Linked DNA regions of Danio rerio. The protein of the gene in region 1 interacts with the protein of each later gene in a pairwise test. Links are inferred from orthologs where the notes say so. Each region holds a gene or a part of one and is shown in the gene's direction. Other genes may lie near its edges. The genes, in order: ahcyl1 and cdkn2c.

Region 1 (16,766 bases):
GAACTGTTGTCCACAGATATGTCTGCGCTGATTTCCCTGCGGAAGAGAGCTCAGGGAGAGAAACCCCTCGCCGGGGCCAAAGTGGCCGGATGCACACACATCACTGCTCAGACTGCTGTAGGTTCTGCTCAGGGTCACACGATTCAAACACACACTTCTTCCGGAAAGAGATTTTGACAAAACATTTACATTTTTGGTCAGAGTGGAACATTTTTGGCGACATGAGTTTAAATCTAGGCTTTGGGAACTTTCCTGATCCTTTTCACCAGCTTCTTTATTTTGCTTTCTATCTATTATATACAGTCATATTTAGTAAACAAGAAAATAACAGAGTGAAATATATTCATTTACCACAGTACACAAGTGATTGTTTTAATGTTTTTAGTACAAGCAGGAGGAAACTATAAATAAAATAACTTTTTATTTATTTAAACAATGGATTAGTAAACGAATTTTCGTTTCATTTCTATTAAATAAAACTACACTAACAGTTTGTTTAGGGAAAGATAAATCTGTGTCGGCCAATACTATAAACTACAGTAGTCAAAATTTGAAGTGGATCCTCACCAGCACCCATTCATGTCCTAGGACAATTTTGAAAAATGTTTTGGATTCACTTCGAATGATGACTACTATATAGTGTCCATTCACTAAAAGTAAAACTAAAAGTAAATGTTTATGAAATAAGTAAACAACAAATGTTTTTCGATTGACATTACCTAAAAGTAAAATGAATAAAATAAAGAATCAACAAACAACTAAAATAAAACAGGGTAGAATTTATTAATAAAATTACTAAAACTTAACATGGAGCATATTTTTAAAAATGCCGAAAAAAATTGCAGATGAAGTCGCAAAGGGAAAAAAAATCACACATACAGTAAAGTGCTCAGCATATGAGTATACCCCATTTTGAAAATGAATATTTTCATCCATTTTTTAGTGTATTTTTGGTGCATTTAACCAAAACAGATTTATTAAACAGATATATTTATTAAAATAATCTTTTAGTAAACATATCCAAACATTTAGAAATTGAAAGATAATGCAATTAAATTCAAGCTAAATATTGCACAAAAAAATGACAACCTACAAAATTTCAACTAAATTTTTCAATTTTTTTGCTTTTCTTGATTTTAATATTTAGTATTTTTCTCAAACATATAAATTTGGTTGTGCTAGTTTTTGGACCGTAATTGTAAGTTATTTTGTTAGATAAGCTCCAGATTTGGCTTCGGTACTGACTAATCTAATGTATATGCACAAATATAATATTGTATAGCTTCCTAATTAAAAATATGAATTTAAAAGAGCGATTTGTGAGGGGTGTACTTATATATGCTGAGCACTTTAAGTCAGACTGGTTTGTAATTAGTTTGGTCTTAGCAAATTTATTTAAAGAAAAACTCAAAAAGCTTTAATGTTAAAAATGTTATTTATTATTCTAATTAATGCACACTTTGCAAATGATTTGCTTGCAGTTTCATTAAACATACAATCGTATAATCAAATCAAAACCAAAGTGCTTACAATGTAAATTTGCACACATTGTTGTTTGTGAGTGTTTTAATGTGTTTGATTTGCTATGCTGGTTTCTTTCAGGTGCTGATCGAGACTCTAGTGGCCCTGGGTGCTCAGTGTCGCTGGACTGCCTGTAACATTTACTCCACCCAGAATGAAGTGGCAGCAGCTTTGGCGGAGAGTGGTAAACTCCCTCTAAACAAATAATACTGCTGTCTGAACTAACAGTTCCAGTCTGGAGATTATGGACTCACTTTTTTTTTGCTGTCTTTCCTGTGAAGGTGTGTCAGTTTTTGCCTGGAAGGGAGAATCGGAAGACGACTTCTGGTGGTGCATCGACCGCTGTGTCAACATGGATGGCTGGCAGGCAAACATGGTATAAAGTTCTGCCCTTTATAGGATAGTTCAGCCTAAATTCAAATTCACCCACCATTTACTGATCCTCAAGTGGTTCCAAACCTTCTTGTGTTTGTTTTATTTCTGATATTTGAAGAATGTCCTTGCCTTTGATATCCCTATAGTTGAAAAAAATAGTAAACACTTGTAATAAGAAGTAGAATGCTGACAAAAGAGTGTGGATCCAAACGCAGGTTTATTAAGAATAGTCAGGCAAGCAATGGTCGTGGTCGATAAACAGGCAGATGGTCAGTACAGGCAGGCAGCAGACAACATAAACAAAAAAACGAGGATCAAGGCAAGGCGTCGTAATGTTCACAATACTGATTAACAAGACTCAGCAACTAATGTGTGTGTCTGTGCTGCTTTTAAAGTCCATGTCATCAGTTCTGAACACCTTCGGTTGTGTGTGTTAGCAATCAGCTAGAATTTGGAACCGGTGCGTGTGTGTGTGTGTAGAGCATGACTGGGCCTTGTAGTCCATATAATGGCAGATTTGTAGTTATATGCGCTCTGTGTGTTTACCAGTGATCTGCCAGGATTAGATCACTGGTGATTGTGACAATACTGTTAAAATAAAAGGCTGATGCTATCCTCAATTAGTTCCAAACCTTCTTTGTGTGTGTTGTTTTGTTGTTGTTGACCGCTAAAGAAGATATTTTGAAGAATGTTATAGCCATTGATATCTACAGTAGAAAAAAAAAAAAATATGATTAAAATCAATTGCTGATGCTTTCCAACATTTTTCAAAGTATCTTCTTTTGTGTTTAACAGATGAAATAAACTCAAACAGATTTTGAACAAGTGGAGGGTGAGGAAGTGATGGCAGAAAAGCACAAACAATCAATGTTGTTGGCAGTTATTTTAGTAACTTCACTTATCATTTAGCCTTTTTGCGAATAACATTTCACTATTTGTAATATGATGTGTAGCCAAAATGCTAATGTTGTTGCTGTTTATGCTGCTTGTTATCATATCCACCACTATTTACACTATTTAACACAATGATTCTATTACTGTTTATAAACCGCTGTCAAATCAGTATTTACTGTTCAAAACTTTTAGCATGGTGTTTGTGTTTGCAGATGAGTAATAAAGATACTTTCTTTTACAGATTCTAGATGACGGAGGGGATTTGACCCACTGGGTGTATAAGAAATATCCCAGTGTCTTTAAAAAAGTTCGTGGAATCGTGGAGGAGAGTGTTACTGGTGTACACAGGTACGGGAGGGCTGTACTAAAGTCATAGTAAATGCATAAAGAAAATGCATAAACAGGAGCAAATGCTATTTCTTGAATGCATTTTAAGTCATTTTGGGCAAAAGCTTTTATCAAATGCATAAACAATTCAAGAAAATACATAAAATTAACCAAAAAAAACCTATATCGAAATTTTATTTAAAGTCACTTTGGATAAAGGAATATGCGAAATATATAAATATTCAATTAGATATATTTAATTTATTTTTTATTTAATTTTATTTTATTTCATTCTAGACTTAGTCCCTTATTTATTAGGAATTGCCACAGCAGAATTAACCCCCACACTATTTCAGCATATGTTTTACACATTTTATTTTGTTTTTAAACAATAATTTCATTTATTTATTTTAATTTAATTATAATTAAATTTAATTAAAATTTTAATTTTAATTTTCATTCATTCTTTCATTTTCCTTCATTTCCTTTAAGGTTTAGTCAGTTATTTTTCAGGAGTTGCCACAGTAGAATAAACCACCAACTATTCTGGCATATTAATAATTCATTCAATCATCCATTCATCCATTCATCCATTCGTTCGTTCATTCATTCATTCATTCATTCATTCATTCATTCATTCATTCATTCATTCATTTATTCAGTAATTTTCTTTTCGGCTCAGTCCTTTTAATAATCTGGGGTCATCTTATCCAGGATATGTTTTCGCTGTGGATGCCCTTTCAGCTGCAACCCATCACTCGAAAACACCCATACACTCTCATTCACTCACACACACTGCGGCCAATTTTAGTTTACCAAATTCACCCACAGAACATGGTTTTTGGACTTGTAAGGGAAACCGGAGCACCCGGAGGAAACCCACACGAACACAGGGAGAACATGCAAACTCCAAACAGAAATGCCAACTGACTTTTACAAACATTCATGTTTTATTTATTTATTTGTCTCTTTTTATTGATTCTGTCAGGCTGTATCAACTCTCCAAAGCTGGCAAGCTTTGCGTCCCTGCCATGAATGTCAATGATTCTGTCACCAAGCAGAAGTTTGATAATCTGTACTGCTGCAGGGAGTCCATCCTCGACGGGTAAAGACATCTGCAATGCTGATATATGCTTTTCTGACTTTTCTTTCAACACATCTTCCTCTAAACCTCTAACCAAGTTTGACTAAAACTTGTGTAAGAAAAAATATCATCTTAGCTGTCTTCCTCTTTCTCCTCAGTCTGAAGAGAACCACAGATGTGATGTTTGGTGGGAAACAGGTGGTGGTTTGCGGTTATGGAGAGGTCAGTACAAACATTTGGCAAAAATAAAATAGGGCGGTCGGATAATCTACATTATGCAAATAAAATGCAAGACACTGCAGGTGAAATGGGCAAAATCAAAAAAATTCCATAAATTAACCAATTTTATTTCTGTTGCAATCACCAGCGATCTAATCCTGGAAGATCCCTGGTAAACATACAGATCACATAGAACTACATATTCGTCATTATATGGACTACAAGATCCTGTCATGCACTGCACACACACCCCAGTTCCTAATTCTGGCTGATTTGTAGTCTGTTAGCGATCTGCACAGGTTGGATCGCTGGTGATTGTGTCAACTTCTGTACTTCCCCAGCTGATTCATTACATTTTTATAACAAGTTTTATTAAGTTTAAGTGCTTAAATGTGCACTTGTTATATAACAATGGTTTATTTAAATAAATGTGTCCATATATGCATACATTTCTAGCTTAAATTTTTAACATTAAATGATGTCCAGTTCAAAACTCAGGTTTAATGTTTTTGACAAATGAGAGTCTAAGGTTATAGGATTTTAGTAATCTTTCTCTATCAATCCTTTCACTCATGTCTTTGTCGAATGAAAGGTTATAACAATCAGATTTTAAAAAATGCAAAAAATATTTTAGTCCATGCTAGTTAATGGTACAACTGTCAGTAACTAATGGATTTTTATCTTGTAGAATAAAATGTTCTAATAATCAGGTAGTTTATGTATAAACATATCCATCTGTAAAAACATTTGGAGTACTGGATACAGATGATTACAATTGTGAAGTTTGTTGTGTGTACTGCAAATTGCGCTGAAGTTGAGATTGATGGCTCAGTGGAGGAGAATAAAATAATTCTGAGAAAAAGTCTTTACGGAAATATATTGTAATTGACATCCACAGACACATTTTTAAGTGTGATAAAAAAAATTTTAATCACATATTTTGAGTGTTTTCTTTAAATTAGACAAAAAAAAAACCTGTAGTGTCTGTACTGTAGCTGTAATTTCTCAAAACAGACAGACATTATTTTCTAAAAGCACAGAGAATGGAATGACGTTTCTGTGTTTGGCTGTGTTTCTGTGTTGACCGTGGTATAGGTGGGGAAAGGTTGTTGTTCAGCTCTGAAAGCACTTGGAGCAATAGTGTGTGTGACGGAGATCGATCCGATCTGTGCTCTTCAAGCCTGGTAAGACCAATAGACCCTCAAGAATGAGTGAAATCTACATTTAAACACAAGTGCGGTGTTATTGAAATTAGTAGTCATGCGATATTTTTTTTTCTGAAGGTCAATATTGGAAAGCAGGGTGGCTGATATTTAGCCAATATAATTTATTTTAATTAATAATTAAATACAAAAGGTACACAATTTTAAATAATTAAAAAATGCAGATGGCAAGCTCAATAGTGTCATTTGCCTTTATTACTAATTAATGCAATCATAATTATGTGTACACATTTTAAATACTTTGTTTAAACAGTTAATCTAATCTAATAATCTATAGCCTATTATTTTCTCTTTGTATTCGAAACAACTCCAAGTCAATTCAATTCAATTCTAGTTTATTTGTATGGTGCTTTTCAGAATAATTATTGTTTCAAAGCAGCTTTACAAAAGGTGCACATTATTCCATTACAATCTAATTCGGTAAAGTTAAGGTTATTAGTTACTAGTTATTAGTTAGTTGCAAATATGTTCTTGTTTTATACAACAGTTTAACAAACAAGACAGTAATACTGCATGAGTTACATTTCAGACACAGTCTCAAACAAATCTGAAGCGAACATTTGTGTCTCACAGCAACATTGCAAGGGTTTGTTCCTAAATGAAATTAGGAATGAATAATTTGAGTCAGTGATTCAGTGATAAAGGTGATAATTATTAGTTAATATACTTTATTCAGTTTACCCTGTAACACATAACAATTTTGTATCAAATAACTTGTGTAAACTGGTCTCTCTTAGTATCTACCACAAATAATATCAGCATATCAGCAAACCAAATAGGAACTCAAAATCTTCTTTGCACAGCAATATCTAAACACATCTGCTAATTTTTATTTGTTTTTTTATTTCCTTTATAGTATGGACGGCTTTAGAGTGGTGAAGCTGAATGAAGTGGTTCGTCAAATGGACATGGTCATCACCTGCACGGGTACGTCTGCTTGCTGTTGGCTAGCTTCCACTTTCACATCCATTTCCTCTATTAAATGCAGCTCTTATCAGCACAAACGATTCCTCCCTGAGCTGCTGTCAAACGGTTGGGCCTTTGACAGCTACGACTGATCTCTTAAGTGGTCTGGGGAAAAATCATGTTTGCCAAGTTGTGAGTCTCTGCTAGTCATAAAGAGAGAACTGAACTCCTGCTTCTTTAATTGGTTGAAGGGTAAAACAGCATTTTGGTAACATTAAGTGAGTTAACATGATTGACAAACAGGACTTCTTCTCTATTTTTTATTATATTATACTATAATAAACCATTTATTAATTGTTATTGTCACTGTCAGCATTTAACAATACATTATTCAAATAAAAAATGCTATGTTCATTTATTTTTAACATAAACAAAAAATGTACAGTTATTTATTCATTCATTAATTTTCTTTTCGGCTTAGTCCCTTTATTTATCTGGGGCCACCACAGCGGAATGAACCGCCAACTTATTCAGCACATTTTTACGCAGCGGATGCCCTTCCAGCCGCAACCCATCACTGGGAAAATTAATAGTTATATTTGTATTAATTAATGGATTAATATATAATTTAAAGCTTTATTAATTCCTTTGGGGCAATTTATTCGGACATAGTGGTGCCTCACATAACAAGATTGACACCTTTAACACAATAAACACCAACACTTAACATCAAGTACACAAACAAAAACTGAAAAAAAAAAAAAAAATATATATATATATATATATATATAAATAATAATTTATAATAAAAAAGAAGGATACAAGGATATTTTGAATATCTTAAAAAATATTTTAAATTCTATAAGTTAATCATTATATAATAAGCCACAAGTCAAAATATTATCATAATTATCATACATTTAAACAAATAAATAATAAATAAAGTAAAAAAAAAAACATCAAATAATCATTGCTCATAATAAGTGGACTTTGGTAACATTTGAACTCTTCTCAGGGTGTCTGTGGGGTCTTAAAATGTCCTAAATCTTAGCAACTAAATTTTAGGCCTTAAAAAGTCTTAAATCTACTGAAATGTTGTGTTGTAGGTCTTAACAGGTCTTAATTTTCTTTTGTTCATTTATGTTTGTTCACCAACAATCAATCTCAATAAAACTTTTTTTTATTTATCATTTTATTTGTTACTTTTATTTTTTAATTATTTTCCTCACCATAAAATTTGCTTAAAAGTTATCCCTATATTTACAGCTGAGGATACTGACCTGGCCTTTATTTTTATTTTTAAATTGTAATTTTTATTATTAATGTATGATTTAATGTATAAAATTAAAATAATTTTTTTGATAGGGCAAGTGAAAATCTTTTCCAACTGGCTTATTCGAAAAAAAAATTCCTTAGCATTTAGCCCTGTAAAAGTGAAAAAACTCAATCATAATGGTCTTTAAAATGTCTTTAAAAGCCTTACAACCTGCTGAAACTCTTTTCACACCAGTGTTTTTTTTTTTTTAAAGTTGCCATCCACTGTCAACATTTTTGATGATTTGTTTCTAAATTTGACAAATATTTTCTACTATGAATATGTTCATATTATATATATATATAAACATAAAGAACCGAGCCTGTTTTAACTTTGTAAATGTGCGTGTGTGTGTGTGTGTGTGTGTGTGTGTAAAACAAAAACAAGACAAGTACTGGACATTCTAAACACTGTAAAAAAATGATGCAAAATTTGCAATAACACTGGCAATTTGGTTGCCAGTAATATTGTAAAAGTAACTAAATAAGTAATGTGTATTTATATAGTGCATTTATTGTGTATGGCCATACACCCAAAGCGCAATACAATCATGGGTGGAGGGTCTCTACCACACTACTAGTGTGCAGCCTCCACTTGGATGATGCGACGGCAGCCACAGGACATTGACGCTAGTGCAATCCCCACTTACCAGCCATAGGTGGAATGGAGAGACAGTGATAGAGCCAATTTGGTGGATGGGGATGATTGGGAGGCCAGTAAGAGCCAATGCAAGGAACTTGGCCAGGACACCAGGGTTACACTCTTTACGAAAAATGCCATGGGATTTTTAATGATCACAGAGCCTTGGTTAACATCTCATCCGAAAGACGGCACCCACTGACAGTAAATTGCCCCCTTTACTTTCCTGGGGCATTAGGACACATACAGACCGCAGGTTGAGCGCCCCCTGCTGGCCTCACTAACACAACTTCCAACAACAACTTAGCTTTTCCATGTGGTCTCCCATCCAGGTACTGACCAAGCTCAGCCCTGCATAGCTTCAGTGAGTAACCAGTCTTGGGCTGCAGAGTGATATGCCTGTACAATTTACAAGTATACTGTAAATTACCAAAACAATTGTGCTGCAGCTTTACAGCACAATTTTAATGATTAATTTACAGTGTGCTTGAAAATATTAGTTTCACTGGCAATTTTTACAGTATTACTGGCATAAATCACAAGCGCACTGTAAATAATCAATCAGAACCGGGCTGTAGTTTTACATCACAATTGTAATAGTTTATTTACAGTGCACTTGTACATTTCACAGTATTACTTGCATTCAAAATTGCCAGTACTTGTAAATTTTACAGCAATTTTTTTTACAGTGTAGGTCTTGCCTTACCATAGTACACCTAGAATACAGATGCTGTCTGTCAATTGACAAGATAACTTTCAAATATAAACGTTCACAGTTTCGCGGGTGAGATGTGTTCCATACATCCACAGAATGACAATTTAGGGGATCCACTAAGATAAAATCAGTATTATTACTCACAGATAATGTATATCAAGGTTATATGAAGAATTGTTTGTTTCTACAGGGAACAAAAATGTGGTGACGAGGGAGCACTTGGACAGAATGAAGAATGGCTGTATCGTGTGTAACATGGGCCATTCCAACACTGAGATCGATGTGGTGAGCATTTCTCAGCTCTGTAAAAACATAGTTTGGTTTATTCATAATGAGGCTCCATTTGCTGTGGCTGTAGCGGGCAAATACTATACCAATGTGAATGTTGCCGTCAACAGCTGTAGGTCCTCTCTGAGCAGCAGGGTCACTTAATCAACCCAAAATCCTCTTAGCTGCATGTTTGCCACAACAGAGTGAACTGAATGAGTGTGTGTGTGTTGGGTATAGTGGTGCGAGTTTTAAGTGTGTGTATTTATGTATGTTTCAGGCAAGTCTGCGGACTCCAGAGCTCACCTGGGAGAGAGTCCGCTCACAGGTTGATCACGTCATCTGGCCTGATGGGAAACGAGTCATTTTACTGGCAGAGGTCTGTACTTGTTGTCTTTTTTCATAAATAAGTGCCAGTCGGAAAGGTTGTTTTATGTTGTGTTGGAAAAATGAGAACTCAATCCAGGATACTCATTACAAGCAGAATTATCTATTGAGACGTGTTGGTTGTTCTGCAGTCAAACACCATCTTCAAGAAATAAATGAGCCTAACAAAAGTCTGAAACAAGTCTAGATGAGTCTGACATGGACAGAGTTGTTCTGTCTGTTATATTGTTTAGAGGATGGGGCAGTAGCTAAAGGTGGAGATGGCTAACACAGCATGCAAATGAAGTAGATACCGTTTCAATCAGAATTAATAAACTGTAACATTTTATTTTCTTTTTTAAATATTTCCCAAATAATGTTTAAAAGATTCAGAAAATTTTCACAATTTGTCTGATAATATTTTTTCTTCTGGAAAAAGTCTTATTTGTTTTATTTCAGCTAGAATAAAAGCAGTTTTTATTTTTTTTTAAAATATATTTTTTAAAATTACCCTAACCTGCCTAGTTAACCTAGTTAAGCCTTTAAATGTCACTTTAAGCTGTATAGAAGTGTCTTGAAAAATATCTAGTCAAATCTTATTTACTTACATCATGACAAAGATAAAAGAAATCAGTTATTAGAAATGAGTTATTAAAACTATTATGGTTAAAAATGTGTTGAAAAAATCTTCTCTCTGTTAAACTGAAATTGGGGGAAAAATGGGGGGAAATAATTCAGGGAGTTTAATAATTCTGACTGCAACTGTAGGTGAAAGAACCTGCCGAGACACTGACCACACAAGTTTATCAACGAAAGAGCTTCTTTCACCTGAATGGATCCACAAAGACAAAAGTCATAGTCATTGAGACCCAGCCCATAGCTTTTGCAGCACTTTGGTCAGCCAGTGCTCTGGAAGCAAAGGGTTTAATGGCACTTACACCATGTCTGCTAGAGTTTTGAATGAAATTAGATAATAAAAAAACCAAAGAATTTAACTTTTCAGTTATTTATACATCACTGTTAATTTGAAACTAGATTATATAAATAGCTATTTCCACAGTTGCATACAGTAGCAGTCAGAAGTTTAGAAACATTTACTTCCCACAAAACAATTTTTTCTGACCATTTAGTGCTAGGGTTGTCCAAACTCAGTCCTGAAGGGCCGGTGTCCTGCAAAGTTTAGTTCCAACTCCAATTCACCTGGGCTAGCTAATCAAGCTCTAACTAGGCTTTCTAGAAACTTTCATGCAGCTGTGTTGAGGCAAGTTTGAACTAAAATCTGCAGGACACCAGCCCTCCATTACCGAGTTTGGATACCCCTGATTTAGTTACTCTCGGGTGTTCTAACCCTTTAGGAATATCTTTTATGAATATATTTTTATGAACGTGGAAAATCTGTAACAACCATTGACAAACATACCAGGAAAAAATATACTACGCATGTCAATGGCTTCTCGTCCTCAGCATTTTTCAAGATGTCTTCTTTTTTGTTCAATAGAAGAAACTCAAACGGGTGACTATTTGATTCATGACTGAAGTTCTGAAATTTCTAAATTCTGAAAACCCTGTCTTGTCACCACAGAAATATATTTTATTTTTAAAAAGTATTTGAAATTTTATTTTTAATTAATTTTATAAATAATTTGAGATAATAATATTTTTCTTGATGCTTTTTCAACTTAAGTTTTGGCTTTAAACATTTTTTTCTGATAAATATTTATTTGTACAAACTGCTGTTTTTAGTCATCTTCAGATATCATGTTTTTGCTGTTCATTAAAGACTACAATTGCAAAAACATGATTTATATACACACACACACACACATATATATATATATATATATATATATATATATATATATATATACAGTATATATATATATATATATATATATATATATATATATATATATATATATATATATATATATATATATATATATATACATACAACATTATTCAAAAACATTATTAGTCTGTCATTTTAGTCTATCATTTTCACAATTTCTGGATTATTAAAAATCTGACTTTCCACACAGGTATTTGCCATCAAATCTTTTTTTTAATTTATTTATTTATTTTTTCACTAATTTCATATTTTCTATGAAAAATGCTTGTCACAACGTATGATATGTACTATGCCATATACCATGACATATATTTTGGTCCACAGAATTTTCCCAAAGCCCCAGTTTTCTCTACTCAATCTGTGAATGTGCCCACCATGATAAATTTCTTTCCTCTATATGTGATTTTCTGCTGGATCACAGTCAATCTCAGTCATTTGTGTTGTGTTTTTCAGGGCCGACTCCTGAACCTGAGCTGCTCAACAGTCCCCTCATTTGTGCTATCAATCACAGCCACAACCCAGGTAATTTAACCTGCCGCCGCTTTGGGTTTTAGCTGCGTCTGTACCGCTGACATTTTATCCATTTATGCCAGAGCTCCTAAGTGCTCCTGCACAGCTGTATGACTATTACGGCTGATTTAACATCTCTAATCGCAGGCTGTTGTGCTCTTTTTTTGTATTAATCTTAGGCTTTGGCCCTGATAGAGCTGTATAATGCACCAGAAGGTCGCTATAAACAGGACGTCTACTTGCTGCCCAAGAAAATGGGTAAGATTATCTGAATTTGTCTCCACCAACAGCTTCAGTACTTTGTGCATTAACTGTGATAAATTGTGTGTTCTTCAGATGAATATGTGGCCAGCTTGCACCTACCCAACTTTGATGCTCATCTTACAGAGCTGTCTGATGAACAGGCCAAATATATGGGCCTCAATAAGAATGGACCCTTTAAACCGAATTACTACAGGTACAACCCCCCCCCCCATATTTCTGTTTAACGGAGAAGGTTAACTGGGCTTGTTAGGGTAATTACGCAAGTTGTTGTATAATAATAGCTTGTTCTGTAGTCTATCAAAAAATGTAGCTGAAGGGGCTAATAATTTTAAACCTACATTTTTTTTAAGTAAAAACTGCTTTTATTCTAGCCTCAATAAAACAAATCGAAAAAAAAAAACTAAAAAAATTATCAGACATACTGTAAAAATGTCCTTGCTCTGTTAAACATTATTTGGGAAATATTTAAAAAAATAAAAAAAAATAAAAAAGGGGCTAATAATTCTGACTTCAACTGTAGTTTTACTACAGTTTAAGCTTTTTTTCTTTTTGTTTAATACAAAAACAGTACAAAGGAAATACACTGGCATAAACATAGTAGCTCCAGCATTAAATCAGAAAACAAAAATAAATGAATTAAAGTGAATAAACAACAAACAAATGGGAGTATTTGTTAATTAAAGCAATCATAATGTTCAAATATAATTATCAGAGTACGATCAGTTGTTTCAAAAAATCATTGGCATAGCACTAATCAGTTCTGAGGAAATTCACAAAAGGTTGCCATACAGTTTGAAATTGGTGTTGAGATTTTGGTTCCGAGGAGTGTATCCTCTCAAGCCAAATGACTTGATACAATTCAACCATCCACTCTTTTTAAAACATGTAGGGTTAGAAGTTTTTCAGTTTAAAAGTTTTTTCACAAGAGTTAGGCCTATCAAAAGGAGATGTTGCTAGGACTTTGGAAAAGTGTCTATTGTCTCAGAATATCCAAGAATTGCAAGACAATGGTCTGGCTTAACCTTCTTTTGAAAAACTTTGGGAAAAAAAAAAATCTAAAATATATTTCCAGAAGGCGAGGCAGTGGCGCAGTAGGTAGTGCTGTCACCTCACTGTAAGAAGGTCGCTGGTTTGAACCTCGGCTAAGTTGGCATTTCTGTGTGGAGTTTGCATGTTCTCCCTGCCTTCTCCGGGTGCTCCGGTTTCCCTCACAGTCCAAAGACATGTGGTACAGGTGAATTGGGTAAGCTAAATTGTCCGTAGCGTATGTGTATGAGTGTGTGTGTGGATGTTTCCCCAACATGGGTTGCGGCTGGAAGGGCATCCGCTGCGTAAAAACTTGCTGGATAAGTTGGCGGTTCATTCCGCTGCGGCGACCCCAGATTAATAAAGGGACTAAGCCGACAAGAAAATGAATGAATGAATATTTCCAGAAATTAAAGAGTTTATTGGTCAATATGTGTTAATATGTGGGATAAACAACCAACTTCTATTTTACATACATAATTGTTTTAATAACTAATTTCTTTTGTCTTTGCCATGACGATGTGACATTATTTTACTATTTATTTTTATTAGTATTCAGCCTAAAGTGCCATTTAAAGGCTTAACTGGGTTAATTAGGGTAATTAGGCAAGTCATTAAAGAACAGTGGTTTGTTCTTTACCTAGTTGAAAAAAATATTTCTTAAATTAGCTAATAATATTGACCTTAAGAATTGTTTTTAACAAAATTAAAAAGTGCTTTTATTCTAGCCAAACTAAAATTAAATAAGAAATAAGACTTTCTCCAGAAAAAAAAGACAGGAAATACTGTGAAAAATTTCCTTGCTCTGTAAAACAATTCAATTTTTTTTTTATATTTCAGAAGAGGGTTAATAATTTTACCTTCAACTATGTCTAAAATATGTAAAATATTATAAAGATGGTTCAAAATATTGCAAAAATTGACACTTTTTTTCAATTGTTGGAATTATAATATATATATATATATATATATATAAGAAAGACTATACAAGCACTTTAACATAACAATATTCTGTACGATATTGTGCAAAGGGGCTTTTTAAGGTTGAAGAAAACAAGTTGGTGGTACATTCACAAGTAAACATTCTTTTCCTTACTGTGTTCTTGTAAGATGAAGTTTAAGTCTGGTGCATACGGAGAGAGGAGTGTTCCTACAGGTGGTTTGTCAAGCCCACTCACCTGTGGGAAGTGCACTTAAGGAATGCACAATGTTTTTTAGAGACATAAACTGTTTTAATAGAGATTTGTAACTGTTTATTATCACTTACTGCCCTCTGCTGGTTTTCAATAAATCGACTATTTATAATTAGAGCTTTTCAGCATAACATTTACTTTTGTTTAAAAGCTTGGGGTTGGTAAGATTTTTATGTTAGCATTTTACATTTTGTGTGTGTGCACAAAATTTGATTTGATATAAAATACAGGAAAACACTTTAAATATTATAATTTAATCACTGTTTTCTCTATTAAAATATTTCAAAATGTAATATTTTACTTCAGGCTTCAGTGCCATGTGATCCTTTAGAAATCATTATTATTTCTTATTATTAATGTTGAGTAATGACTGCTGCTTTTTTGTGTAGAAACTGATATTTTTCTTCAATATTAATGAATAAATAAAAAAACAACAACAGCATTTATTTGATATCAGAGTATTTGTAGCATTATCCATGTCTTTATTGTAACCATGGATCAATTTAATACATCTCTGAATAAAACCTATCATTTCCTAATCCTACTGACCCCAAGTAATCAACAACAACAACAACATACCAAACTGAACGAAAATAACATTTCCTGTTGTTCTGCTTACAGATATTAGTCTGACTGGATGGATTCAGCCTTCATCAAAGATGGAGAGATCTGTAATAACCAGTGAAGCAAGAGATTTATTTTATATTAATATACATTTCTTAAAGCAAAACTTGATTTTACCGAATGTTATTCTTATTTAATAGTGTTACTAATGTCCTGTGACAAAATATATACATTCATGTCACTTTTAGTGCGTTGTTAGAAGTGATGTATTATAGCATATGTTGTAAAATTATCTTTTAACCTAAGAAAGGAAGCGGACCACTGTCTATGGCTCTAAAAAAGTGCCAAATATTGGTTAGAGTTACTGATCTCATAGGACGACTGATAATCATTACCATGCTTTATTTTTTACACATTGATTCCATTGACGTGAAGTTACACTACACTTAAGATTTCATGACCAAAAAAAAGGATGTCTCTGTGGCTTTTTTAATATGAACCTGTTAGTCTTCACATAATATTCCTCTTACATAAGAAAGTATAATAGCTTTTTTTTAAATTATTAAATGAATGTACTGTGTATTACGGCTAAATGCTAGAATGTTCTGGCAATATGATACACACCACTGTGTGCAGAAACTTCTGTGACCCGGCAGCACCTGCTGCTACATATATACCCCGCTTGGGGGGATTTTATGAATAACGTCACCAACTGGGATTTTTCCCGTTCACATTCTGGCACACTTCCATCATCTCTGTGGCCTTTCATGAAACCCTATATTAAGATAACGTTGTTGACCATTATATGTCATGTAGGCCGAACGTAGATGAGAATATATGTAGAGCTGCATGATTAATCGTTAAAACTCGCAATCTTTCTTTTAAACGATTTGCGATATGTATGTTTATTAAAGCTTTAACCATCACAGTGAACGTTTAAATCGGATTCAGACAGAGCAGTTGTTGTGTTAAAGTTATGAAACTGCTTCAGTCTTTTAATCCAGTGTTATTTTTTCGGTGTTACAAACATTAAACTGTCATAGAAGTACTGGGAGGACATTTGGGACTTACTGTATCGATCAAAATCACCTTTTAAAAGTAACTTAAAGGCTGCAGCTATTCAAATTCATGTCGCAGAATAATTTATTCAAGATAAACTTTAAAAAGGTCTTTATGAGTAAGTTATTGAGTCATTCGTTCAAACTGAGACTGAAAAAAATATTTAATAATAATAATATTAATTAAAAAAGGTAGAAAGCAACCGATTTTGTCAGCACCTCTAATTATTAACTTTATTTGTAATTTCTTTAACTTGTCTATTCAGAATCCAATCCTGATTTTTGTATTTAAACAAATAAAACCAAAATGTGATTTTCAGTTTATCTAGAGTCGTGCAGCTCTAAACTGCAGCTGAAATAAGATTTTGAGGCGTTTATGGTTTGCTGAACCTATTGCCCTCAACGTACCTTGGCTAGACTCACAGTAAGCCCACATATCTGGATGGCCATC
Region 2 (17,391 bases), about 8.7 Mb from region 1:
GGACCGCATATTTTCCCCTTCAGACTGAATTGGAATGCACAGTGATGGCTTGATGTGTTTGTGTCTGTGCGTGTGTGAGCAAGTGGCTTCTGGAGCCAGACTGTGATAAGAAGCCTTACTCGGTGGATACAGATCTGAATGGAATGACTTCTGATTGAGCCAAATAACAGAGTGTATACAAGGACGTACATCGCAACGCTTGCTATGCTCCCAGATTTTTTCCATGCCTGAAGAGGCCGTAGACATGATATTTTGTCTGTGTAGAGACAGAACATCAGATATTTTCACAGATCTAACCGTTGATGGTCAGAGAAATATACAAGCAGCAGATCTTTGACTGCTCGTGTAAGATTTGCTCAGGTGTAGCGCGGTGTTTATGTGATCAAGAGTACGGCACACATCCTGGCTTCAGCATGTGGGGTGTTCAAACACTCGCTGGCTGTCCCGTCTTAATTTTTTCAACCCTGCGCAGTAACAGCAAGTCATCACATTCACAGGTGCACTTAACCACGGCGTACGCTTGAGCCTGCTTTCTTTGAATTGCTGCCAGCATACAACCAGCTCCCTGCTAAATATAGTAAAACAGCCCCACTTTAAAGATAAAGAGCGACTTTGTGGAGGAAAATCTGTCTGTAAAACCGCAGTTTCTTGATGTTTGTTTGAGTACTGTCACTTTAGATCCGTCTTGACACTGCATTCTTTGTACCTCTGTTGCATATGGGATGGACTGAAGGCCACACTTTTAGTGCGAGTGTAGGTTGCTCATGCAAATTAGCACAATGGAAACTGCCAGAAGACACGCCTGTTACGTTTCACCCAATAAAATCATAGCTCTCCAGCCTGCTTTTGTCTGTGGTGTGACAGATGTCACATCTGCGTATTTTTTTTTAGGTGAAATCATGTCTGTGGCAGCGAATGAAAGGTGATATAAAAGACGATAAATCATCATGCTTGCCTTGTATTATGACTGAGATGGCTTCAATTAAAAAAGAACACTGTATTTCAAAGAGAGAGAAGGGTTCCTGGAACAAGGATTTTTCAGGACCGATTTGATCTGTCTAAATGATCTGTTTGCAATAGATAAGATGAAAGGCTATAAAAATATGTAAGTATCTGCAGACTAGACTGTAGCAGACATTACTGTCTGTTCAAACAACATTATCGATTGAAACAGACACCTAGATACATAAGCTCTGCCTGTTAGGAGCAACAAAGAAAACACTATTTGTTCACCAAGAGAGAAGCAGTTCATGAATAAGAAATCTTATATTAAAAAATAAAATAAATATGTTTAGATCTAGACTTAAAATTTGCCATTTAATTATGAGATCCATTAATTAACCATACATTTATTTTAAAAAAAAAAAGTTATAAATAAAAAATTTGATAGAAAAAATCTAATAAAGTTTAAAAATTTAATTCTCCTTATCAATCAACCAAAGAATGATCAATGCTGAAAACATGAAAACAATCCTGAAAATATGAAAACAATCTGAAAATATGGAAACAATGTGAAAATATGGCTGGATCTATCTGCTCTTGCGGATCTATCCTGGAGGCTCCATATACTGGACATTATTTGCTGGTAGCTAGCTCTCTGCAATTCTCAGATGGTTGCCCACTGAAGCGAAGCAGGACTGAGCCTGGTCAGTACCTGGATGCGAGAACACACTGAAAGCTAGGTTGCTGCTGGAAGTGGTGTTAGCAAGGCTAACAGGGGGTGCTCAACCTACAGTCTGTGTGAGTCCTAACGCCCCAGTATAGTGATGGGGACTCTATACTGCTCAGTGAGCGACGTTTTTGGATGAGACTTTAAACTGAGGTCCTGACTCTCTGTGCACACTGGCCTCTGTCCATCATGGCCTCCTAACATCCCCATATCATAATTGGCTTCATCACTTGGTCACCTCTCCACCAATTGGTGTACGGTCTGGTTCAATATAGCTGCCTTCGCATCATCCAGGTGCTTGCTGCACACTGTGGTGGATGAGGACAAGGGACAAGCATGCTTTAACATGGTTCAAGGCAACTGTACATAGTAGTGCGAGTACGCCCTGAGTGTCTAGAAAAGTGCTATATAAATGTAAGGAATTATTATTATTATTATTATTATTATTATTATAAATTTGGAATACACCACAGAAAAAATAAATGGTGCCAGTAAGAAAACTAAAATATTGGTTAAATATGACAGAGACTGTATCAGATATGTTTCAATCCTGATTTTGTACCTATTGTTGCAGTATTACTATTTTTATTTGATTTTACTTTTCATTTGATGGATCTTGGGCTTTGTTCAAAATCAAAAATGTTCAATAAAAATAATTTTTAAAAAATGCAGTTGAATGCAATTAAATGAAGAGAATATTTTAGGTGAATTATGCCTTGAAACCATAAATTATTTGCATAAAATTAAAAAATCCTAAATTGACTACTTTTTCCATTTAAGAAAACAAACACACACAAAAAACATATTTTAAAAGGTTTAAGGATGCAAAATGACAGAAAGAGATGTTTTTTTTTATCCAAATGCCACTTAAAAATAGGATTATTTGCAATTATTCAAAATTTAAAGTTTTTAATGAAAACCATGATTGAATGTAACTAAATATTAATGTCAGCACTGACCACAAAAAAAATTATGAGGTATGTGTTAGCTATGCGCTTAAATGTCAGCCTTGTGTTAAAATAACACTATAAAGCAGTGGTTTTCAACCCTGGTCATGGTGACCCAATGCTCTGCACATTTTGTATGTCACCCCTATTTAACACACCTGATTCAGATCATTGGCTCATGTGCAGAGAGCTCCATAAACTGAACAGTGTATCAGATAACAAAGACATGCAAAATGTGCAGAGCAGTTGGTCCCCAGGACCAGTATTGAAAACAACTGCTATAAAGAATGTTGCAAAATGTGCTTCAAATTGCAGAGATAAGATGCAGTTTGACCCTACTGTTTCCACTGTGGAAGGTTTAAAATGATATGTTTCTATGTTTTACAAATACAGAAAAAACTGAATTGATATATGACTTATAATATTATTAATATTGCAGAACAGTAAATAAAAGAATATTTGTTCTGACATCAGTTCGAAAATTCAAAATATATAAATAGGTCTAAAGAGAGTGCTCTAATAGTTGTAGTAAAATCTTAGGTAAACTTTTATAATAAGTAATGACAGCTATTTTTATTTGGGGTTGGATATTTATCATAAAGCATAAACATTGTTATTTAAATGTCAATCCTGCTATCCTGCGGTTATTGATAGTTTAATTCTGTTGTAATTTTGCTTGATTCATGACATAATATTAAATTGAATTCCATAAAAATGCTATTATTAATACAACTAGCCACAGAATAAAGTGCCAGATCTGTATCTAACAACAAATTCTTGATTTCTGCTAAGCGTACAGGCAAAATATTAATAAGGTATTGAATTACAAACATGACTAGTAATGTTTCATTGATGAGTAAATTCAGTAATGTGCTAGCTTATATATAGGAATGCTGCTAATACATCCACAGCACTGCGCCAGAATGTTCTGTGAACAATGGTCCCATTAAATAGTGTTTGCACTAAACACACTGGCTTTGTCTCCGATTCATCAACACAATCCACAAACAAACAATAAGCAGGAAACAAAACAAGCATGTTAAAAGGTTGGATGGCTTGAAATTCTTTTACCTAGGAGTCAGTCTTACAGATTTTACCAACAAATAGTGTCTTACCACCAAGTCCCAGTTGTTTAGTTCTAGAAGTGTGATCGCCTCAGCAATGTTGTCAATTCCGGTACATGCCTAAAATGATGAGTAATAAAAAACATCTTTAGAATACTGGCTTATTAATAATAACTGATAATGAAATTATATAATAACAGGACTTAGATACATTTCAGAGATTGATGTTGATTAAATATTATTTAATTAATACTGCAGGTATAACGATGGGTGGGTGGATGGATGGATGGATGGATGGATGGATGGATGGATGGATGGATGGATGGATGGATGGATGGATGGATGGATGGATGGATGGATGGATGGATGGATGGATGGATGGATGGATGGATGGATGGATGGATGGATGGATAGATAGATAGATAGATAGATAGATAGATAGATAGATAGATAGATAGATAGATAGATAGATATAGATAGATAGATAGATAGATAGAATGTTTATGATTGTACATTACACTACAAGATTTTGGGGTAACTGAACATGAAAAATATTTTGTTAATGGAAGTAAGAATGGATGGATGGAAGTTTATGAGAAAAGCATACATATAGTAGATTTTGGTCAATTCCTCCTTAAATATTTATTTTAGAGCTATTTCTGCTTCTATAAAATATTAGAATTCTAATTTAAATAACTGGACTTACATACATCTCAGAAAATGATAATAAAATATTTTTTGTTAAATTAGCAGGCATAACCATACTACATACAGAGATAGATGGACAGATAGATGGATAGGTAGATGGACTGATGGGTAGACGGATGGATGGATGGATGGATGGATGGATGGATGGATGGATGGATGGATGGATGAATTTATCATAAAAGCATACAGTATACAAAGGCAGCAATAGACTTGGGTCTACACCTCCTTAACTATTTCTTTACTCTAGAGCTATATCTGCTTCTATAATAAAATAACAATTTAACTTTAAACACACAATATGTCAGGAAGTTACAACTAAACTGTCAGGTCTTGACCCAAACCAACTGAAAACCATCCATGTGACAGGTAATGGCAGTGTACAAACAGAAAACCGTGCAGAGTCATCTGACAGCCTCTGGCCATTACATGGTCAACGCCAGATCAGGCTACAGATGACAGTATTTTATTTTTTCCATATCTGAATAAGCTGACCACATAAAAATGATATATTTCACGCGGTTTGCTGTTATTTTGCTTAATCATGTGCTGCCCAGACTTCGTGTTTGCTGAAAAACTCAAACAAAGCCACTGACAGCTGATCATCTCGAGACATGTCAACAAAAAGGAGTGACTTCAAAAGCCGTTGTCCGGTTAACACTCAGCAACCACATAAAAACGACTCACATCTACACATCCAGAGCTTGAGAAATCAGAGGTCATGGGTATTGATGTGAGAAAACCCACCTGAAAGTCGGCCAGGATCATTTCTCTGTCCATGTTGCTGTCGGAGGCCATTGCAGAGAGAGGCTAACGAATCATGTAAAAAGCCCCACAATATCAACCATCAATTTCAAAAAAGCAGCTCGGGACACGGCAGGTCAGCGTGCGGTAAATAACTAAGTGCGAATGCTGCTCTTCGGGGCCGTGTTGTCAGTGTTTGTCGGCTTTCAGGTTTTCTGTTATCGTCACTTTGCTGTTCTAGATCGCGTTCAAATTCATCTTACGGCTGCCGTAAAGAAGTGCTGCAAACTGTCGCGGAGGTGGCGCCACACAAACATCGTTGGAAAAGGACTGCGTAGGGCCGCCGTTGAGTTTGAATGGGCTGATATTTGCAAGTGATTGGTTTGGCTAGCATAAGCCATTTTAAAATAGAAAGCTTTTAAGATATATGTTTTTCCGTGTTACATAGTCATCCGAATTGTTGTTTTAGCTGTAACAAGTTCTGTTTACACTGTGCAACCACCTAAAATAACTTTTTTTATTTTGTAAACAAGAAGATAGGCAAGACCAAACTCTTAATAAATCACTTGTTTAGACTAAATTTGTATGTACATTCTGATGAACGAACAGTTTTCATTGGTGTAATCTATGCCAGGGATATAAATGTGTGCTTGCTGGTGTTCTCAATCACACCATTGCTGGTTTAGATTGGTTTGGGGCCGTTTTAAATGTGTCAGAGCATCTTAAGCAAAGGCATCCTAAAGTTCAATGCAATTAAATTACCTAAACGTTATTTTATTGTAAACATACAAAAGAAAAACAACAAGATATCAACAACCTTGTCTACAAATAATACAACAAAAATAAATGCATAATAACCATTTCAGTGTGACCCATGAACATTTCCTGCTTGTTATCAAACTATTTCATAACTGTAACAAGAGGCAATTCAATCATGACTACATGTTAAAACATCTATCACAAAATTATCTATCAATATGTGGCTATAGAAATTAAAATATATTGGGACCATTGTTTCGTTTACATCTCTCAAAATGGTCCATACACCAGCTTAGTTATAAGCAGTCCTGCCTGGTTTTTAGAGGGGCTTGAAGGGATTTAGTACATCAGGCCATCGTTTCCAGCCAAACTGCTTTCAGGAGGTCAGCTAGACAATCCTATGCCAGAAACATCGACTACAATTTAAATTACTAAAGCTTTTGGGGTAATTGAACATAAATAAACTGTGAATTTAACAGCCTTGCATTAAAAATAGCAACAGATAAATCATAATCTGCTGTGGTTGTTTCAAAAATGAGAGAGAAAACTAAAACACCAGAAAAACTCTATAGCTTCAGCTGATTTTAAAATCATGTATTTAATAATAAGTTTAATAGTGTGTGGTGAATGGATAAACACGCCATAATGTAAATATAGGCAAACTACGCGGAGGACTATATAACCCATTGTGCTGTTACAGTGTTTTCTTCACATGAGGAGCTTGAATTAATTCAACTTCAAAAGAAGAAACTTATATTGGTAACACCAACGTCGTAAAGGCTTTATTACACGGGAAAGGCGAATGCGTATTCAAAACTGAAAGCAGAAAGTGCATCTCTCTTTCGGTCAGGAGGATCAGCCTCTCCCTGAGTCCCAGCAGCATTACCGTTGAGTCCCAGCGGCTCCGCCTCTATATGGGCGGAAGTGTCGGTCCTTTATTTCAAAAAGGAGTGATGTCAAACAGCAGCAGACTCTCTGACAAACTCAGCTGTCTTATAAACAGCGTATTGAACTCCCGAGAGCCATCAGAAGAGGATAAACCGAAGCCAGCGATGTAACCATTCTGCAGGTACTGGATACAATGTTTCATTTCAAATGATTCGACCAGCGGCTGAACCTCCACAGAAGTGTAAAGCACCTCTAATGAATCACTACGGCGGAACATTTGTAGATATTCAAGCCTAGAGTTTTGAAATGCGAATACCGAAACACTGTTAGTAATGTTTTGCACGCGTGCCAGTTCGCTACACCGGACTAGTATCAGTACGAAGCCTTTCGTGGTGCCAGCGGTCTTTGATGTGCACATCAATGAAGACTCTTGACGTTTCATGTTCAAAATTGGCGGGAAGCTCTCAAAAAAACTCACAACACGTCGTTGCAAATTGATTGGATGCTTAATATATTTTTTCTCAGCGAAGTAACAGGCTCCTTTCTCTGTTTCAGAGGTCGTGGAAGAAGCTCGGAATGACTACATCTGCGAATACCACGAACGCATCGCAGCTCTTCAGCCCATTGCACCTGCATATTATCAGAGGACATATGAAAGGGAAGTTTGCCTCTCGGATCCGATCATTTTCATGTGACTACTGCAAATCTGTTTGAATGCGAGAGATCGAGTATCTGGACTAAGACCACAGTACATTCATGCCATTTTTGGGCACGGGCGTCGATCGCAGAAAAGAGGATGTTTCTTTTGTTTAATTGTTCTTGATCGTTCTTATTTTGATTAGAGATGGCTCCGCATCTCTGTTTTCTCCACTGGTTCCGATGGCTTCAGTAGGACGATGTTAGCCTAATGTGGGTGGACCTTGGCGCATCTCCAACGGATATTTTTTAGGGGGGCTGGAGGATCGGACTATTTACTACTGCTTTGTAGTGCTTTTTCCATATCTCCACCAGCGGACATTTTTATTAACAAAATCAGAGATATTCTACTTTCCTTTGTCAGGATATAATGGCCGAGGACACTGCTTTAGACAGGCTGAGCACTGCAGCTGCGATTGGGGATCTGATGGAAGTTGAGCAGACACTTCAAAGCAACGTGAACGTTAACGAGAAGAATAAATATGGCAGGACAGCACTGCAGGTTAGACGCACATCTCCACCTACAACCTTCATATAAAAAAACACGATGTTTATAATTCATAGTGCATCAGCTTCAGGAAAACAGCTTGTTCTTTTCCTTCTTCCAGTCACTATAGCAGTGGCCTGGTTGATTTACTTCTGACCAAACCGGTGGCTTTTTGAAAAAATCAAAAGGTTTACCTGAGAACCAACTACGCACCTGTTACAAATTATTTCTATTTTTATATGCCAACAAATGTGCGTCACTTGTTCTCCAATAGCCTATTTATTGTTGAAACCGAAAAGTGTTTTATCACCGTATAGATCAGCTCACGAGCTACACGAAACCTGACATGTTTGGCAGCTTTTTATAATTATTTCAGATTGTAGATGTAACAGAAAACTTTGCATGTATTTTAATGATCATGCAGTTCCAGTTTTATAAGGCCCGAAATGATTGTAGATGCTTATGTTTGTTATTTCCTTTTATATGACATATAACCCTCTAGAGGAACAAAATAAAATCGAATCCCAAAAGCCTGTTTTTAAGTTTTAAAAATGTTATTTTAGTTTAAAATATAATATTTTGTATCTCCGAATGTTACACCTGACACAGTATTGCTGCTAAATTTCGGTCAAGTTGAAATATTGTGAGATTACTCATGTGCTTGTGTTAAAATCTCACAATATATATTTTTAAGATTCAGAACGAGAGCTTATCCGAACACTGGGTAATCCCCATACTCGATGTTGTAGCATATAGCAATTTCTGCTTATGCGTATGTGACAAATTTATAAGTGGAGGTCACATCAAATATTCGCAAACGTTGTGTTATCAACATTACGATCTTAGAATAAAAAATATGAACGAATAAGGAAAATTTTGAGTTTTATGTAATGTGACTGGTCACTACCTGTAAGGTTTTGATTATTTTATCAGCTTTTTTTAAATTTAGTAGGTCATTTTGATAGACAAATATATTTATAAATAAATACACACCTTCTATTTGGTTTCTAAATATGAGATAATCAAAAATAATGCATAAAAATTATCTAAAAACAGAAATTTAAAGTCATTTAAAATGGAGCCTTATAGCCTTTTTAAAATACTTATGTGATGTAGTAAACTTCCTGGTAGTATTTCCATAAAATCAATTCATAGTGATACTTTTTTATCTTTAGAGATCAGTTAAAATTGAAGAGATCGATTTGTGCTCGATTTCTGATATAGTTTGCCATACACACTTTTATTTCACAGCCTTCAAGTCGTACTTATTCTCTCAAACAAGCAATTTCCCTTTTTACAATCCATCAACTTACAAGAAAACAAAAGTAAAATCTCTTTTGAGAGCTGCACATTCTTTCTCAGAACTGTCATAAAGATATGTATAAGCAGAATGCTGAAAAACTTGTTAAACACTTTCCTTAATGCATGTATATATTTTCATTCTAAATAATGTTTTTTATTAATAATACACGTAAAGCTTGTAAATAAAAAAATTACTTTCTTTTTTGTCCATAAGTGGAAATCTATCTTTGGCTTCACCACACAACCACATCAGCGTTCACATTACACAAATCACAGGAAAAACAGGCAACACAAATACATTCAACGTACACATGTACACAAATGTATACATTCAACAAAAAATTAAGTGTGCATTACACTGAAAAAAAAATATTCATTGAATTTACCCTAACCCTAACTATATTTTAAAGGTAAGTGGTTGCAAACTAATTGTATGGGCTTAATAAAAAATACCAATGTTTAATGTAATGTTTGTTTAAATTCAGACCATATAAGTTGTTTGCAACCACATTGTAAAAAAAACTATACGATCAATTAGTCCTGACAGCACATGTTTTAGGTCATGTTAACTTATTAGACTAAGTTAATCATGTTCTAACTTAATTTTATAATTTATAAGTTTTAAGTTTAACATAATACAAGTTCGGGTTAATTTGATTCAGCTTATAAATTAAGGCAACCAGGATTTTTTTTACAGTGCACTTACCTTAATAAAAAATATAAGTCAAATGAATAATTTTTAATTGTAAGCTGATTAATATTTAAAGACCCTAAAACGTGTTCTCTTTGTGTTGCATCTCAGGTGATGAAACTTGGCTGCCCGAGCATCGCGGAGACCCTTTTACAAGCTGGCGCAGACCCAAACGTGCGCGACCCCATACTAGGACTGACCGTCATCCACGATGCAGCGCGTGACGGATATCTGGACACCCTGCACGTGCTCGCGCAGAACGGTGCTGATGTCAATCTCCTAGACAACGACGGCAACCTGCCTCTGCATCTGGCGGCGCGCGAAGGACACTTGGATGTCGTGCAGTTTCTCGTAACGCATTGCGTGACGCAGCCTTTTCTGGCTAACGCAAAAGGGTACACACCTCGTGACCTGGCGTTTATGCACCAAAAACACAGAACTGTGGAGTGGTTGGAGAGCATTGCGTCTTTACAATCCAGCCAGAGATTGTGACTGTGGGCCTGCGTGTAGCAGAGGTAGCGGATCAATGCTGAATTAGCGCTTTATTGCAATTGCAGAATATTCAGCCAACTACCTCTTATTGCAGTGTAAAATATTGGGCTCAGGGGCTTGTTTGTTTGTTTGTTTGTTTGTTTTTGTGGGTGAAGAATAATTAACATTTCCGATGACTTATGGCTCTTAACTTTTTTTTTTGTCAACGGGATATTTTTCAGGTCACCTCCATTTTAGATTTGTATATAGCATACGTTTCTCTAACTTTCGAGCTCATGTTTGTTCTATGGGTGCTGTTTCATAACAAACACAAAAAATTAAATGTAGATTAATTGAGATTGTCAAAAACAAAGTAATTGCACTATATAAAATCAGCACCCTGCCATGAGTTTTGCTGTGTTTAGTTTTGTCACAGTCAACTTGCACTTTTGCTTGTAATTAATGCCTTTTTAACTGTTGTTTAACTGTGAAGGATTGTCTTTTTATCGCTTTTGAAAATATTAAAATCTTGCCAAATAACCAAAGACAACTGTTGAAACGGTTTCAGTATGTGTTTAACTCTGGCCTTGTGTCACTGGAATTCGGGTGGGCCTAAAACACCTTTATGTGACTATTAAAATATTTGAATTTGATTATGGGTAAGTGTTTTTATGTTGTCTAATGTTTAAATGAGAAAAATACTTTGACGTTAGCGGTGGCGGTTGTATATTTTTAGTGTGTATTTGTGTACCAACACGAGAAGTCTGCCGTTCCCTCTGTAAACACAAAGAGGATACAGCTAACAATAATAAGCTTTTTACACAGGTAGAAAAGAGAAACTAATTTAATATAAACTAATTCTCATTGTTCGGTGATTTACATGAGGAGAATAAGTTCATACCTTTAAAAAAGTGGGTCAATTTGGCTACCTTGTATTTCTTGTACATCCGTGTTTCTTAAAAAGTTAGAAAAAAATGATAAGTTTTTAAAACAATTTTTTAAATAAAATCTATTTTATATAGGCCTAGTTTATAAAGATATTAGTGGGGTTTAAAACTGTCTTGGGATTGTCAAAAAAGCATTAGCCTATACGATTTTTTTCTTAATAATGTTTAAGTATGCTAAATTGATGTAGTTTGGCAAAATGTGTAATTGATATTATTATTAGCTATTATTTTTAAATGATTTGTTATTATGTTGTTTAATCAATATTTAATTTAATTTAAATTTTTAATTTAATATAAAATCATTTTATATTAACACTAAAAAACACTACAAGCAACAAAACATGAATATTTGCTGATATTTTGTACATTTACATATTTGTCAGGTAGCCTATATAAAGCGGGCCTCAAATTCTCTACTCTAAAAATCCTGATATTTTTAATCAAACATATATTTGACATCGAGTGATAGCTTTGAAAAATAAGTTACTTACAATTAAGATGCAGGAACGCTGTTTATTATATTTAGAGTCCATTTCAAACAGGGCTTTTTCCTCCAAACTATATGAATGCAAAGTTTGCATATTCCGGAACTTGATTTACATTTATTTTACAACCGATTATTAAATCCTTTTCATATTCTCGGCTATCCTCATATCTAACTGTTACTGACCGCTATCGAACCAAACATAATAGAAACGCATGTAGCCTAAAGTGAAATCCAAATATAAATATGCGTCTTATGTGGGCACGTTATTGCTGTGCTTTCTCTCGCTGTGATATAAAACAAATGTTTTGACATGTGGTGTGTGGCAGTCATTCATTTCAAAACCAGGAGTACGAAATCGTACGTAAGTGCTATATTATGATCATGGATATATATGTATAAATAATGCGCTTTTATTTAAGGGGTCTGCGCCATATGGGCTGATCTTTAAGATGGCACCATATAAAATGAGATAGAGAATGATAAAATGGTGACTCTCTCTGAGAGTTTTCATGGTCGAGCAGAAGCAGCAGATCCGTTAGTTTAGTGGGAGGAAACGCCAGCGCGCAATGCCAGGATTTTCAAATTTAGGCGCTTTCGATGACAACAAGCACTTACGATTCTTTTTTAAAACTCGCTCTTCCTCTCTTTCTGCTAAAGAAAACCACTTGTAGGATGTTTTTGCCACTCTAATACAGTTTTTATGATTTTTAGGATGCCATCATGCCAGATATCTTCTTCCTGGTTGCGCGCCTGCGGATAATCTTTTTTGAAACGCGCGACGCCTGATCACGCGTTATATTTTTAATCTAATTATTGAAATTTTATGGTCAATATTCGGCTCTCAAGACGGGTTTATATCGACTGTCAGCAACAAATGAAGGTAAATAAATCGACGCCTAAATGTGCAGAATCTGCAAACGTGTTTGGGCATGTCTGTGGTCAGTTCAGCATGTATGTGTAGTAAACTAACAAACAAAAACAATATTTATGAAAAGTAATGCACCTAGGTTTGTCAAAACACTATTTTATAATCCATATGTAGCATGCAAAAACAAAAGAGTATGTGAATTATTAAAAGCCAAAAATATCTATCATAATGTCGAGAATATACGTTTTCTGCAAATATTTGCATCCTGTCTACATTGCTTCCACGAACTGTAGCATATCTATATAAGCATAAAACATCTCTCCATAAGCTGATAGTTAACTATTAAATGAGAGCAACTCCTTTAGTGGTCTATACCCAGGTGAAATACAAATTTTAAAGTAAATATTATTATACCATATCATAGTAAGGTAAATTAATTAATATGTTGTGGTAATTCTACAGTTGTGGTTAAATACAATGGTAATAACAATATATAAATATGGTATTATAATAAAGTAAATTAATGTATATGTTGTGGTAATTCTAGTTGCTGTGGTTAAATACAATGGTAATAACAATATATATAAATATGGTATTTAGGCAAGGGACTATAACCGTTTTCAAGGTATAGAGCGGTTTGAAAACGTCAATTTTTTGCAAAACCATTGCTGAGGTATGTATAAGATTTTTTATTTACATATTTTTGGGGCAACAGTATCTCCAGCAGAAAAAGATATTCAAAGATGCCATTTTAAGTTGTAAAAAAATAAAATCTGTTTTTGACATAAATGAAGACAGCAGAAGTCAATTTTCAATTAGAATTATTTAGCCTGACATGTTTGCTGTTCCAAAATATTTTAAATGTTTTTTTTAAATAAATTATATTGTGTTTAAAAAAAGTATTTGTTTTTTACCCAGACATTTAAAAATAACATATTTTAGAGCAGTAATCACAATACCATGATATTTTTATCCAAGGTTATACCGTCAAAATCTTATACCACCCCATGCCTAATGGTATTATAGTAAGGTAAATTAATTTATATGTTGTGGTAATTCTACAGTTGTGGTTAAATACAATGGTAATAACAATATATATGTTATGATAGTAAGGTAAATTAACTCATATGTTGTGGTAATTCTACAGTTGTTGTTAAATACAATGGTAATAACAATATATAAATATGGTATTATAGTAAGGTAAATTAATTTATATGTTGTGGTAAATCTACAGTTGCTGTGGTACAGTAATAACTATAGTAGTAATAATAATATATAAATATGGTATTATAGTACGATAAATTAATATGTTGTGATAATTATACAGTTGTGGTTAAATACAATGGCAACAACAATATATAAATATTTTAATAACAATAATTTTGTAATATAAACCCAAATACGCCACGCTCTCTACAGCTATAAGGTATATTATGCTACAATACACCACCATTTAGAGTAGTAAAACCCACAGTATGTATTAGTTTATCAGTTTACTATACTTGTAATAAATATTATAATATATATACACTTTATTATTGTTATTTATTATTATTATTATGCAATAACAGTATAATATGTACTACAGTATCTCTTTATGTGGGTAATTGTTTAAATCGGAAATAGTGATTGATGCTGGATAGTTGTTTTATATGTTGGAGAACATTTTAAGAGAGGCCTTACAGTTGTAAAAATAACGTTAGGGTTATTTCTGTTTTGCTGATCATTGTGATATTGCTCTTGAAGCCCATGATAGGGCACATAAGAAAAACAAGATTTCAAATTTTGACTGAAGCTATGCTACTTCAAGTTCAGTTCAATTTTACCCGAACGGAGACACAAGGGACCATCATGTGGCAGACCTTTCATCTGCATTTCACAAACTGTTTGCCCGGGGCCGGTGTCTGATTTTGTGCAGTGTCTGTTTAATTGCTCAACAGAAATGTCCACATCTTTAAACTCATATCAACCTTTGTTTGTCATTCTATTGATTCAGAATGCATTTATTTCAGTGTGATTACTCATATATATGTTTACTTATGTCATGTTTGTCACTTTTTCACAACAGTTTTTAAATTCAGTGTATGCAAATAATTGTAAGAGGAATAAAACAGCCGACTTGCCTTGGTTTATGTTTGAATGTTAATGCAGAAGACTGAATAAAACACCCATTGCGTTACAGCCAATGTGTCTGATTTTGTGGGCAATAGAACAAGTTTGCTGCTTTGTAATTTATGAGTGTTACAAGAGCTCGCATGAGCAGCTGCCAGGTGGAGTGCCACTTCAAAACACTGTTTTCCCACAGAAGGGGTGATACAATATGTCCAAAAGCCCTGTGGTGGTGAGATGTTGGCCCGTTGACAAGGACACTTTTATCAGACATTCGGGAGGGCCTGCTGTGCATTTTGCCTGTGCGGTTCATTTTTGGTTGCAATGACTGACAGCTAAAAAACTCAGTTCAAGTGCAGCAGCTTCCTTCCACATTCTCACAGGCGTCAAGCAGACAAAGTTCGCAGATTGATGGATGAATGGAGAGAGAGATAGAAAGATGCATGGATGGATATATGTGTGGATGGGTAGATGGATGACAAGAATGAATGAATGGATTAATGGATGGATGGGATGATGTATTGATAGGAGGAAGAGGTAAGAGGGAGAGATGAATATACAGATGCATGAATGGATAATGAGTGGCAGAAATGCTTGATGGAAGCATATATGGATGATGGATGGATGGATGGATGAATGAATACATGGTTGGACGGATTGATGGATGAATGATGGATGTGTAGATGGGTGGATAGATAAAGGTTGATGGGTGGAAAGATGATGGTTGATGGGTGGTGGGATAACGGATGGATGGATGAATCGATGGATGGATCAAAGGACGGATTGATGGATGAAACAATAGGTTGGTTGGTTGGATGGATGTATGGGTGAATGAATGATGTATGGATGGATGGGTGAATGGCAGATGAATGATGTATGGATGGATGGGTGAATTGCAGATGAGTGAATAGAAGGATGGATAGATGGCAGATGGATGGATGGATGTGGATGGAATGATAGATGGATGTACGGATGATGATAAATGGATGGAGGGAAGCAGAGTGGATCGATGAATAGATGCCTGAATGAATGATGGGTGAACAGAAAGACGGATGGATGCATGAATGGATAGATGGATGGATGGATGAAAAATGGAAAGATATATGGATGATGGATAAATGGATGGATGGACAGATGAATGGATGATGAATAGATAAAAGAATTATGGGTGAATGACAGATGGATAAATGATATATAGATGAATAATTATGGATGGATAGATAGACAGATAGACAGATAGATAGATAGATAGATAGATAGATAGATAGATAGATAGATAGATAGATAGATAGATAGATAGATAGATAGATAGATAGATAGATAGATAGATAGATAGATAGATGTAAATATAAATGGAATGGCGGATGGATGGATGAAAAGATAGATGGATGACAGATGAATGGATTGATATAAAGATGGATGGATGACAGATCGATGGATAGATATATATGGATGGAATGATGTATGACAGGTGAATCGAAAGATGGGTGGATGCATGAATGGATAGATGGATGGATGAAAGATGAAAAGATATATGAATGATAGATTGATGGATAGATATGAATGGATAGATGGACAGATAGATGAATGATACATAGATAGAAAAAAGAATGATGGATGGATGACAAATTGATAAATTATGTATAGATTAATTTATATGGAGAGATGGATGATAGATGTACTGATTGATAAAGAAATGGGTGGATGGCAGATAAATAGATAGAAAGATGGATAGAAGGATACATGTATATGTGGATGTAATGGGAGATGGATGGATATATATATATATATATATATATATATATATATATATATATATATATATATATATATATATATATATATATGGAATGGTGGATAGATGGGTGATGGAAAGAATGATAAATAAATGTATGATGGTGAATGATGATGGATACATAAATAGGTGGGTGATCGATGCATGAATGAAACGAAGGATGAATGAATGGATGGATGGATGGATGGATGGATGACAGATGAATGGATATATATAGATGGAATGGTGGATAGATGGGTGATGGAAAGATTGATGAATTAATGTATGATGGTGAACGAGGGTGGATAGATAAATAGGTGGGTGATCGATGCATGGATAAATCAAAGGATGAATAAATGGATGGATGGATAGATAGAATAAAATAAATATATAATGGATGGACAGATGGGTGTGTTCGGTTAGATAGAAAGATAAATATTGGAATGGATGGATGGTTAATGGATGATAGAAGGACGAATATATGGATAGATGGGGATGAATTTATAAATGTAATGATGTTAAATTTGATGAATATATGGGGTGACAGTGAATGGGTGAGTGGCTGGAAGAAGAGATCAAATAAAAAGCCTTGATCATGTGAAGCAGCAGAGGGGATCTACAGTATCAGCTCACGCGAGCTCAACCGTTTCCAACTCTGCTGACAGTTGACATGTAAGAAGGCCATGGCCAACTAACATGCAAAATATCTCCCAATGATGATTAGGTTACACATGAAGCTTGCTGGATGAAAGTGTTGATAATGTTAGCTAAGTTTAGTCTGAC

What was found.
Region 2: the proteins of ahcyl1 (region 1) and cdkn2c interact in binary tests that used the Homo sapiens proteins (3 or more experiments, as listed by UniProt). The two-hybrid records come from large-scale screens. The link is inferred for Danio rerio from reciprocal best matches to the Homo sapiens genes AHCYL1 and CDKN2C.

Annotation. Positions count from the first base shown.
Region 1 is NC_133183.1:26,868,606-26,885,371, reverse strand, and holds part of ahcyl1 (S-adenosylhomocysteine hydrolase-like protein 1), read left to right. Parts: intron 1-16; coding exon 17-117; intron 118-1,602; coding exon 1,603-1,705; intron 1,706-1,802; coding exon 1,803-1,897; intron 1,898-3,031; coding exon 3,032-3,138; intron 3,139-4,105; coding exon 4,106-4,222; intron 4,223-4,359; coding exon 4,360-4,423; intron 4,424-5,515; coding exon 5,516-5,604; intron 5,605-6,499; coding exon 6,500-6,570; intron 6,571-9,408; coding exon 9,409-9,503; intron 9,504-9,765; coding exon 9,766-9,864; intron 9,865-12,153; coding exon 12,154-12,222; intron 12,223-12,389; coding exon 12,390-12,468; intron 12,469-12,546; coding exon 12,547-12,667; intron 12,668-15,314; coding exon 15,315-15,321; 3' UTR 15,322-16,766. UniProt on the Homo sapiens protein: Multifaceted cellular regulator which coordinates several essential cellular functions including regulation of epithelial HCO3(-) and fluid secretion, mRNA processing and DNA replication.
Region 2 is NC_133183.1:18,180,843-18,198,233, forward strand, and holds cdkn2c (cyclin-dependent kinase 4 inhibitor C), read left to right. Parts: upstream 1-6,830; 5' UTR 6,831-6,957; intron 6,958-7,331; 5' UTR 7,332-7,842; coding exon 7,843-7,974; intron 7,975-10,063; coding exon 10,064-10,444; 3' UTR 10,445-11,076; downstream 11,077-17,391. Other genes in the region: faf1 (FAS-associated factor 1), read right to left, coding at 3,732-3,800, 5,133-5,183. UniProt on the Homo sapiens protein: Interacts strongly with CDK6, weakly with CDK4. Inhibits cell growth and proliferation with a correlated dependence on endogenous retinoblastoma protein RB.